2 linked regions of the Arabidopsis thaliana genome follow. The protein of the gene in region 2 interacts with the protein of the main gene of each other region in a pairwise test. Each region holds a gene or a part of one and is shown on either strand. Other genes may lie near its edges.

Region 1 (4,303 bases), on a different chromosome or scaffold from region 2:
CAACCACATGCAATGTTGATCCCAATGGAATATTTCTTGATGGGTTACGGATTATACAGACCATCTCTTTTCTCCGAGAGCCCTAGAAGTCCACTTAGCCCTTCTTGTATTTCACCTGAGCTTCTCTCTCCTGAAAGCATGGGATTAAAGCTTAAGCCTATCAAAACCAGAATTTCGGCGGCTTAAGTGTGTGTGCACTACTGATTCATTGGTTCTAATTTTGCTGAGGAGAAGAAATCTTAGGGCTTTTGTAGATATAGAACAATACTAGGGAGATTTGAGAAGAAGAAGACGAAGAAGAAAAATTCAAGCCACCATCATATAACACATTCTTTTGTAGTCAGCCGACACGACAGTTCTCTTGTTAAGATGCCACAAAATGTTGTTTATTATTTCATTTTTTTATACATATGTAAAATGTTCTGTTCTTGTGACATTGTAACAATTGTTTTGTGACGAACTCTGCAGAAGCAAGTAATAAAATTCATTTTGCATTTTGTTTTTGGTTCTCTAATTGGCCTTACAAGCACATTGATTTCACCAAGTTAGAATCTGGTTTTTGCTTAATATTGATATTTAATGGTTTAACAGTCTTGATCCTGAACTATTTGGATCATCAGATTGAAACTTTTTAGTCTGAATTGAATTGTAAATGGAAATGGAGACCAATCCTTCTTTGCAGAAGCCGTAAGTTATATACTGATATAAGATACGCATAAGGATTAGTTGCGGTTGACGAAAACATAGTCCCTCATGAACCGGGGTAAAGGCGAAGAATGCTTCACTTAGTCTGAACAAGTTCAATGCTCCTCGATGTTTGTCAAGCCCGTAAAATGGATGCAGACAAGTGTAAATCCGAGCCAAACCCGAATACAAAGTAGAAGAAGTGTATAAACTCTTGGATAACTAATGATTGAATAATAACATCAAATTAAGGCCATTTCTTGTATTGAACATCGTAAGATGTTTTGTAAATTACAAATACAACAAAGCTCACTTACCTCAGCACCTCTCTATAAGCGAATGGTCAGAAAGTTTTTCACTTTCAAAACCACAGAAACAATTATAACAACAACTTTATATGATGTAATCTGACCATTCCGAGATGAATGAAGTATGATCCATCGATTCTCCAGGACATTCCTCATCATGAATCGTTGGCTTCTCTTTCCCTCCGACAAGTCTCGCCGGATTCCCAACCGCAGTACCTCGACAAGGCACGTCAATCAGCACAACAGAACCAGCTCCTACTTTAGCACCTGCACCAATCTTCACATTTCCAAGAATAGTCGCTCCAGCTCCAATCAAACAACCGTCACCGATCTTCGGATGTCTATCTCCACAAGCTTTACCTGTTCCACCTAGTGTCACATGGTGAAGGATTGAAACATTGTTCCCAATCACCGCTGTTTCTCCGACTACAACTCCGGTTGCGTGGTCTAGAAGTATCCCTTTTCCGATCTTCGCTGCTGGATGGATATCAACAGCGAATACATCGGAGATTCTTGAGTGTAGAGCTAATGCTAATGGCTTCCGTGATTGTGTCCATAGCTTGTGTGATACACGATGCGCCTAATTCAAATTCAACAAAGCCAAATCATGATCCGAAATTCGCATAACTGAAGAATCAACCTAACCTAACCTAAAACAATATTCATAAATCAAATCGCAAGATATAGAAATTGTGGATTCATCAGATCAAATGATGAAGATTTCACCTGAATAGCTAAGAAGCCTTTGTAATTGAGGAGACAATGAGAGAACGAGATACAAGCAGGATCACGAACACGAGCAGCGCGTAGATCTGCGACGGTGGCGTTACGAAGAGAAGGATCGGAGGAAAAAGTGTTTAAGAACAGATCGTATAAAAGTGTGGATAAAAGCGTTGAGGAACAAAGCTTGTTTCCTAGATGAAACGAGATAGATCGTTCAAGAGACGAATGAGAAAGAATCGTCGAATATAGATAGCTAGCTAAAGCTGGCTCCGCCTCAGCATCACGGCGAGCTTCCGCCTTGATCTGTGTCCATAATCCGGCAGCTTCCGCATCTGCAGCTGCCGCAGATATCGCTGCTGACGCTGCTTCTGCTTCATCGGATTGGGTAACGGAAGATAGTTTCTCCTTTGATGGAGATTGATGTCGGAGTTCTCCGGCCGGTGGCATATTAACGCGGCGATAAGATTCGATTTCTATCTCCTCCTACCTATAAAAGTTAATTTTCGAGACGCTCTTTAATCGTGCGGAAATTTTTAAATCCATAGATTAAAGACAATGATAGTCCACCTGGTGCGTGATTAACGTGATTTTTAGAAAATAAAATCGGAGCCGTCAGTTTTATGCTTTATCAATAACCGTTAGATTAGATTTATCTTTCCGTTAATCGACGGTGGTGATTCTGCCGACATTCTTACCAAACTTTTTCCGTAACAAATTTTTGATCAAAAAAAAAAAGAAACTATACAAATTAACTACTAACACTACAAATTTGAAACGTGAATAAGTGGGTTACAATCCAATTAATTTAGGAGAAACAAAAGCCATATCTTTGACCTAGTCGATGTAGGTTTACTCCGGTTAACCAAATGGTCTCATCACTTTGAGTGTTGAAGTGAGGAAAGTATAATTACTCTTCTCTACTTTGATGGTAACAACTTGGTCTCGAATAGAAGGAACTAGCACTTGTGACTTTCTCTTGCTCATAAACTCGGGGTCACCGAGCTTCTGTAACTCAAGATGGCGTCGTTCCCCATTACTGCATGTGTTCCATGCATAATCAAAAGTGCTCAAAAGCATCCCTTCTGTTGCAGCAGCTTCCTACTTAATTAGATCCCATCTGATAAATCACGGTAAAGCAGAGAAACAATCACATGAGTTAGGATCAAAGGTGTATACGTAGCAGACCAACTAGAGAAGATAAGAAGACATGTATTTACTGGTGCCCATCTATAAAAAACTGAGTATCCTTCCGAGAATATGTCCTCATATAAACCCGAGGGCAAATGACCACCGCGTCTTCCATAATCCTGGAGTCTTGATTTTACGTCTACACATTGTCCGACATATACACCAAGAACATTATTATCAGGATCAAAGTTTTGGCCTTGGTCTTGACCGATGACGCCTACACCGAGCTCATACAGACCCGTACAACGTTGAGGGGGTAAGTCCTCATGTCTGTATCTACGGACCCTTTCTTTTCTATTATTGAAATCTTTCCAATCATTGTGTCTTATAAGATTCCGCCATTTGGAGAATGCGATGTCGTGTATAGTCAGCTTGTAGTCTTCTCTCTTGAACATAGTGGGGACGGCGGAACTGAATTCCTTTCCGATCAATCTGGTGATACATTATGACCATTAATTTAAAGCCTGAAGGACCAATAATAGTAAGAAAAAAAACAGAGGATAAAAATGCAACAACATTGTGAATAGATGAGATGATAAGAGACCTATTGTTCAAGAGCTGACTTATCCCCGGCATAATGGTTGTGCTTTTTTGCGTGCTAATGATTGTGTGTCGTATATGGTTAAACTTCAACTTCGCCATCTTCGATAATAGAACAAACGACATTGTCAAACAAAATAAAACAGAACAAAACGGTTCTGCTACAGAAAAATAATGAAAGAAGGCAGCTCTGATATATTACGATCGTAGATATATGGAAGAAGCGAAGGGAAGTTGAAAAAGAAATGGGTCGTTTACAGTTTTTCGCATCATGGACAAGTAACAAAGTGGAGGCATGGCGGGAAACGGGTCTATGTATTTTTAAATCTAAAAACATCTAATGTAATGCAAAGATGCAAGTCAACGATGTTAATCAAAACTGATTTTAAATTTATAAAAAATGAGATTGTGAGTCATCCAGTACAGATGATTGTTCAGCAAACCAATACCGAAACCAAAACGGTTTTGGTACAAACAATTCTGGTTAGGTAACAAATAACATAAACAAGTGATGCAGAGGTTAGGTGATTCTCATTCCCTTATGCTCTTCACATCTCTTACGTCCTTTTACCGGAGATCTCTCACAGATCAATCCATTGCCTAATTTAACTCCACAAGCTACGTTTTTTGCTGCCTCTGGCTGAAAATATACCGGCGAAGTATCGCTGGAAGTTTTCTCCTTATGTTGCCAACACCTTTTGCTTCCTTTAGGAGAACTTCTTGTGCAAGGTAACCCATTCTTTGTTGTAGCTTCACAGAAGCGAGTCAAAGCTTCTTCTTCGATTGACTCGGTATGCGATTCGGGATCAGGTTTCTCGTCTTTGACGGTTTTCTCACGGTCAGTTTGGTTAAGAAGAAAA
Region 2 (5,109 bases):
GTACAGTAAACTTAGATTTAAATCCTTACATTAAGTGGTTCTTTGTTGCTTGTCCCGGTTCTGTGAGTATTGGTCTGTTTAGTTTGATCAAATAGAAAATCTTGAATTGTTGAGATATGGTTTATTGTGGAGCAGGCAATATGGAGAGGCGGTACAAGAGCTGAGCATATGTATGGCATTTGCTCCTCCTGAAGAAGAAGCTGTGTTGGAGCCATTTGTAGAAAGACTTCATCTCCTTCGTCTCATATCTTCATTGAAGCCTCTTGGTTCTGATCGCTTGACCGTTCCTTGACTTCTCTCTCTCTCTCTCTCTACTCCACTTGTAAATTCACTCTCTTTCTTTCTCTGTTGTGTGTTTGAAGAACCTTTGTAGTAGGAGACATGGAGCTTTTGTTGTTTGTTGTAACTCTACTAGACTACTACTGTTGTTTTCTAATCAGATCTAATGGATTTGGGCCTCCAGCTAAATTTTGAGTTTCCCGTGAATCCATATTTCAAGGTTTTATCTATTTGGGCCTCAACAGCTTAAGCTTATATAAGACGAGCCGATTCGATCATGGTTTAGTGACAACTGACAAGTGTACTTGCTAAGAACCAAGTAACCGAATGAGATTTGGATTTTTAGAAATGATTTTTCAGTTTTACTTTGGTTCAAACCGAAAAAGTAAGCCCCGATCGCATTCAATTATCCAAACACGATAATCTTGCTCAATTCTACTCTTTTAACTTTGGTCCTGTCTGTTTAAAAGCTAAAGAAGATTGGTCCCTACCAAAAAAAAAAAAAAAGCTTAGAGGATTTGTTTTTTGATTTTTTTGCTAAATTTTGCTTAGAGGATTGGCTGGGACTTTAAGATAAAGAAAGAAGAAAAAATTACAGTTACAGTTTAATCAATCGACTTAAATCATATAAACTTAATTTCAATAGATAAGTTTGTATTAGTTTAGCTTGAAAAATAGAAGTAGTAAAGAGTTCGATATTATCTAGAAAACTACAACGTAGGAACAACACATAAACATGTGAATTGTGCATGCATAACCCCAAAGAGTGGCAATATCAATTATCAAATATGCAACACTTGTACCATTACATGTCATTCTATCTTTCATATTTTTGATGATTTTGCACTTTGAACTCTGAACCATCCATGATCCATTCCCTTGACTTGTAAAGGTTATCAATCAAACTTAAGTTTTTAAAAATTAAATTTGTAGTCAAGAATAGTAGTCATATATATATATATATATATACAAAAAACAAAAATTTCCCCGACCCAAGTGACCGAAAATAACGACTACATGTTTTATTCCTCCTTTAGTATAATGCGACATTACAGTTTGGTATCAGTAGTTTTGTATCCTTCTCACAATCACGATTGTTGGTGTAATAAACTTTATTCTTTCTATCCAACATGTTATAGTTTCCACATTTGTGGGTGCTGAAATTTCGACCAATGTCACTCGTAGACTCGTATACCTAATCGAGTTTACTTTTATATCAACAACTACAGACCAAGATTCCCATTTCACGTTGTTGTTTTTTTTTGTTTTTTTTATAAACATTTTTGTTGTTATCGCTAAATCATTAGTAGCTAGAATGCCCCGTACACGGTCTTGAAAAGGAGTCAAATATGTTTTTACCAAAGAAGAAATGTAAGAAACATAACATTTAACAAAATTTTAAAATATATTGACTAACAATTTGACCCAAAAAAAACTATCAAATTTAATAAAATACTTTTATGATTATCATAGTTTTTTTCCTTTTCAACAACTTTATAATACTGTAGTGGCTCAAAGAAACCAGGTCGGAGAAATTGTTCACAAACGAGATAATATACAAATTCAAAATATTTCGATGAAACATTTTTGTCAAAGTTGATGAATAGTTTTGCAGCACATAAAATACAAGATAATTCGTCTGATATTTAGGAAAATAATATTATCGTATGTGAAAATAACAATATAGACAAACCAATATTTGTAGATTAGAACTTCACATAAACTACGAACCAAAGGATTTTAGTAGCTTCACATCAAAGAATAAAAATCTAAGTTTCACAAAGAAACAATTAAATGATTTTTGATTTTGAAAATTTAATAAATAGCCCCACACAACACACTCATCTTCCTTCACAGCCTTAAACGTGGAGCCAAAGAAAGTAAAAACAAAAGGAGAGCAATGGACTCTGTTTCTTCTTCTTCCTTCCTCTCCTCCACATTCTCTCTTCATCACTCTCTTCTTCGCCGCCGATCTTCCTCTCCTACTCTCCTCCGTATCAACTCCGCCGTCGTCGAAGAACGTTCTCCAATCACAAACCCAAGCGACAACAATGATCGTCGTAACAAACCCAAAACACTCCACAACCGAACCAATCACACCTTAGTCTCATCACCACCGAAACTCCGACCAGAAATGACTCTCGCAACAGCTCTCTTCACCACCGTCGAAGATGTAATCAACACGTTCATCGATCCACCTTCACGTCCTTCCGTTGATCCAAAACATGTCCTCTCTGATAACTTCGCTCCTGTCCTCGACGAGCTTCCTCCAACAGACTGTGAAATCATCCACGGCACTCTTCCACTGTCACTTAACGGCGCTTACATCCGTAACGGTCCAAATCCACAGTTTCTCCCTCGTGGTCCTTACCATCTCTTCGACGGCGACGGTATGCTTCACGCCATAAAAATCCACAACGGTAAAGCCACTCTCTGTAGCAGATACGTCAAGACTTATAAATACAACGTCGAGAAACAAACCGGAGCTCCGGTTATGCCTAACGTGTTTTCCGGATTCAACGGTGTAACGGCGTCAGTAGCTCGTGGAGCTTTAACGGCAGCTAGGGTTTTAACCGGACAGTATAATCCGGTTAACGGCATTGGTTTAGCTAATACAAGTCTAGCTTTCTTCAGTAACCGTCTCTTTGCTTTAGGTGAATCTGATTTACCCTACGCCGTCCGATTAACCGAATCAGGAGATATTGAAACGATCGGACGGTACGATTTCGACGGGAAATTAGCGATGAGTATGACAGCTCATCCTAAAACCGATCCAATAACCGGAGAAACTTTCGCTTTCCGGTACGGTCCGGTTCCACCGTTTTTAACATATTTCCGGTTTGATTCCGCCGGGAAAAAACAAAGAGACGTTCCGATATTCTCGATGACGTCTCCGTCGTTTCTCCATGACTTCGCGATCACGAAACGTCACGCGATTTTCGCAGAGATTCAGCTTGGCATGAGGATGAACATGTTGGATTTGGTTCTCGAAGGTGGTTCTCCGGTTGGTACTGATAACGGAAAAACTCCAAGGCTTGGAGTGATTCCTAAGTACGCCGGAGATGAGTCGGAGATGAAATGGTTCGAAGTTCCTGGATTCAATATCATTCACGCTATTAATGCTTGGGATGAAGATGATGGAAACAGCGTCGTTTTGATTGCACCGAATATTATGTCGATTGAACATACTTTAGAGAGGATGGATCTGGTTCATGCTTTGGTGGAGAAGGTGAAGATCGATCTCGTCACCGGGATTGTGAGACGTCATCCGATCTCAGCGAGGAATCTCGATTTCGCTGTGATTAATCCGGCGTTTCTCGGGAGATGTAGCAGGTACGTTTACGCGGCGATTGGAGATCCGATGCCGAAGATCTCCGGTGTGGTGAAGCTTGATGTGTCTAAAGGAGATCGGGATGATTGTACGGTGGCCCGTAGAATGTACGGTTCAGGTTGTTACGGCGGAGAACCGTTTTTCGTAGCTAGGGATCCTGGTAATCCGGAGGCGGAGGAGGATGATGGTTATGTGGTGACGTATGTTCACGATGAAGTGACTGGAGAATCGAAGTTTCTGGTGATGGACGCTAAATCGCCGGAGCTTGAAATCGTCGCCGCCGTGAGGTTGCCGCGAAGGGTTCCGTACGGATTCCATGGGTTATTTGTCAAGGAAAGTGACCTTAATAAGCTTTAACAATATAGGTAACTGCAATAGTTAATAGAATAATTAAGTCTTAATTACGTCCCGTACAACAAATCGCATAGTGTTGTTGCACACTTGCACTTTATACATTAAACTAAAGTACACATAGTTTGGTGGTGGTCGATGTATATAAAACATACCAAAGCTTATGAATATTATTTTTTTCTTTTAAATATGCAGCTTCTGTTATTGGCAATAAATCTTATAAATATTCATTCATTCCGAGAGTTATCAGATCTTAACACAACTCTATTTCTCTATTTCATATTAGTGGAAGATGTAGATAAAAATATGAGAATGCTGAGTTTTAATACTCGAATATGACAATGTGGGCAATGTGTCATGCCAATATTGTTTCTTAAGCATAAAAACTGAATACATTGTTAATAAGATCATGAGACAACTATCAGTCGAAATATGAATGATCAGTTAACGGATAAAGAAAATTAATGCACAGAAAAAGATTTGTGGTTTAGATAAATAAATAGGAACATGAAAAAGATTGTGTTTTAGTGATGGGACCAACGAGACATCATTGTTTTGAGCAAAACATGAGGTATGGATATGGATATGGCCCAACGTCATTTATAGCATATACAACGACCTTTAGAAATGTAACCTCTTAAAACAAATTTAAATCTTTTAATTTTAGTAGTATTAAGAAAACCTTGAAATTATTGTGAATTGGGTGTAGTGGAATCAAAGCAAACGAGTGGCCAAAGCAATAAACGAACGAGAGTGACACTGACATAGATGTAGATTTATCCTTTCGTTTTGAGACCAAAGGGTACAATTATTTACATTTGTTCGAGTATATATATGTCTGTCCAAATTTTGGGATCAAGTTTCACGTGAGATGGGTGAGACTTGATGAAAAAAAAACAATATTGACATTTATGGCAATGAAAACTATTGAGACAGACTCGTTTCGTCACATAATTTTGAATCGATCAGACCAAATGTTTTCTATGGTACTCGAGTCTTAAGAACCAATCGTACCTAAACTATAGATCTATTATCACTAGACCAGTTAAACAAAAAAAAGTTATACGATGCGACTAATAACAAGAATCAATATGTAAATCTTGACCAAACCTATTGAAATAGAGATCATTAGGGTAAACATTTTTATT

Evidence for each region.
Region 1: the proteins of NCED4 (region 2) and SERAT1;1 interact in a two-hybrid assay, tested with the Arabidopsis thaliana proteins (one large-scale study listed by BioGRID).

The regions. Positions count from the first base shown.
Region 1 is NC_003076.8:22,960,421-22,964,723, forward strand, and holds SERAT1;1 (serine acetyltransferase 1;1), read right to left. Parts: upstream 2,294-4,303; 5' UTR 2,163-2,293; coding exon 1,719-2,162; intron 1,573-1,718; coding exon 1,078-1,572; 3' UTR 809-1,077; downstream 1-808. Other genes in the region: NDL1 (N-MYC downregulated-like 1), read left to right, coding at 1-186; AT5G56770 (transcription repressor-like protein), read right to left, coding at 2,574-2,813, 2,933-3,335, 3,448-3,569; ET2 (effector of transcription2), read right to left, coding at 3,964-4,303.
Region 2 is NC_003075.7:10,479,656-10,484,764, forward strand, and holds NCED4 (nine-cis-epoxycarotenoid dioxygenase 4), read left to right. Parts: upstream 1-1,963; 5' UTR 1,964-2,179; coding exon 2,180-3,967; 3' UTR 3,968-4,224; downstream 4,225-5,109. Other genes in the region: AT4G19160 (transglutaminase family protein), read left to right, coding at 136-292. UniProt on the Arabidopsis thaliana protein: May be involved in carotenoid cleavage.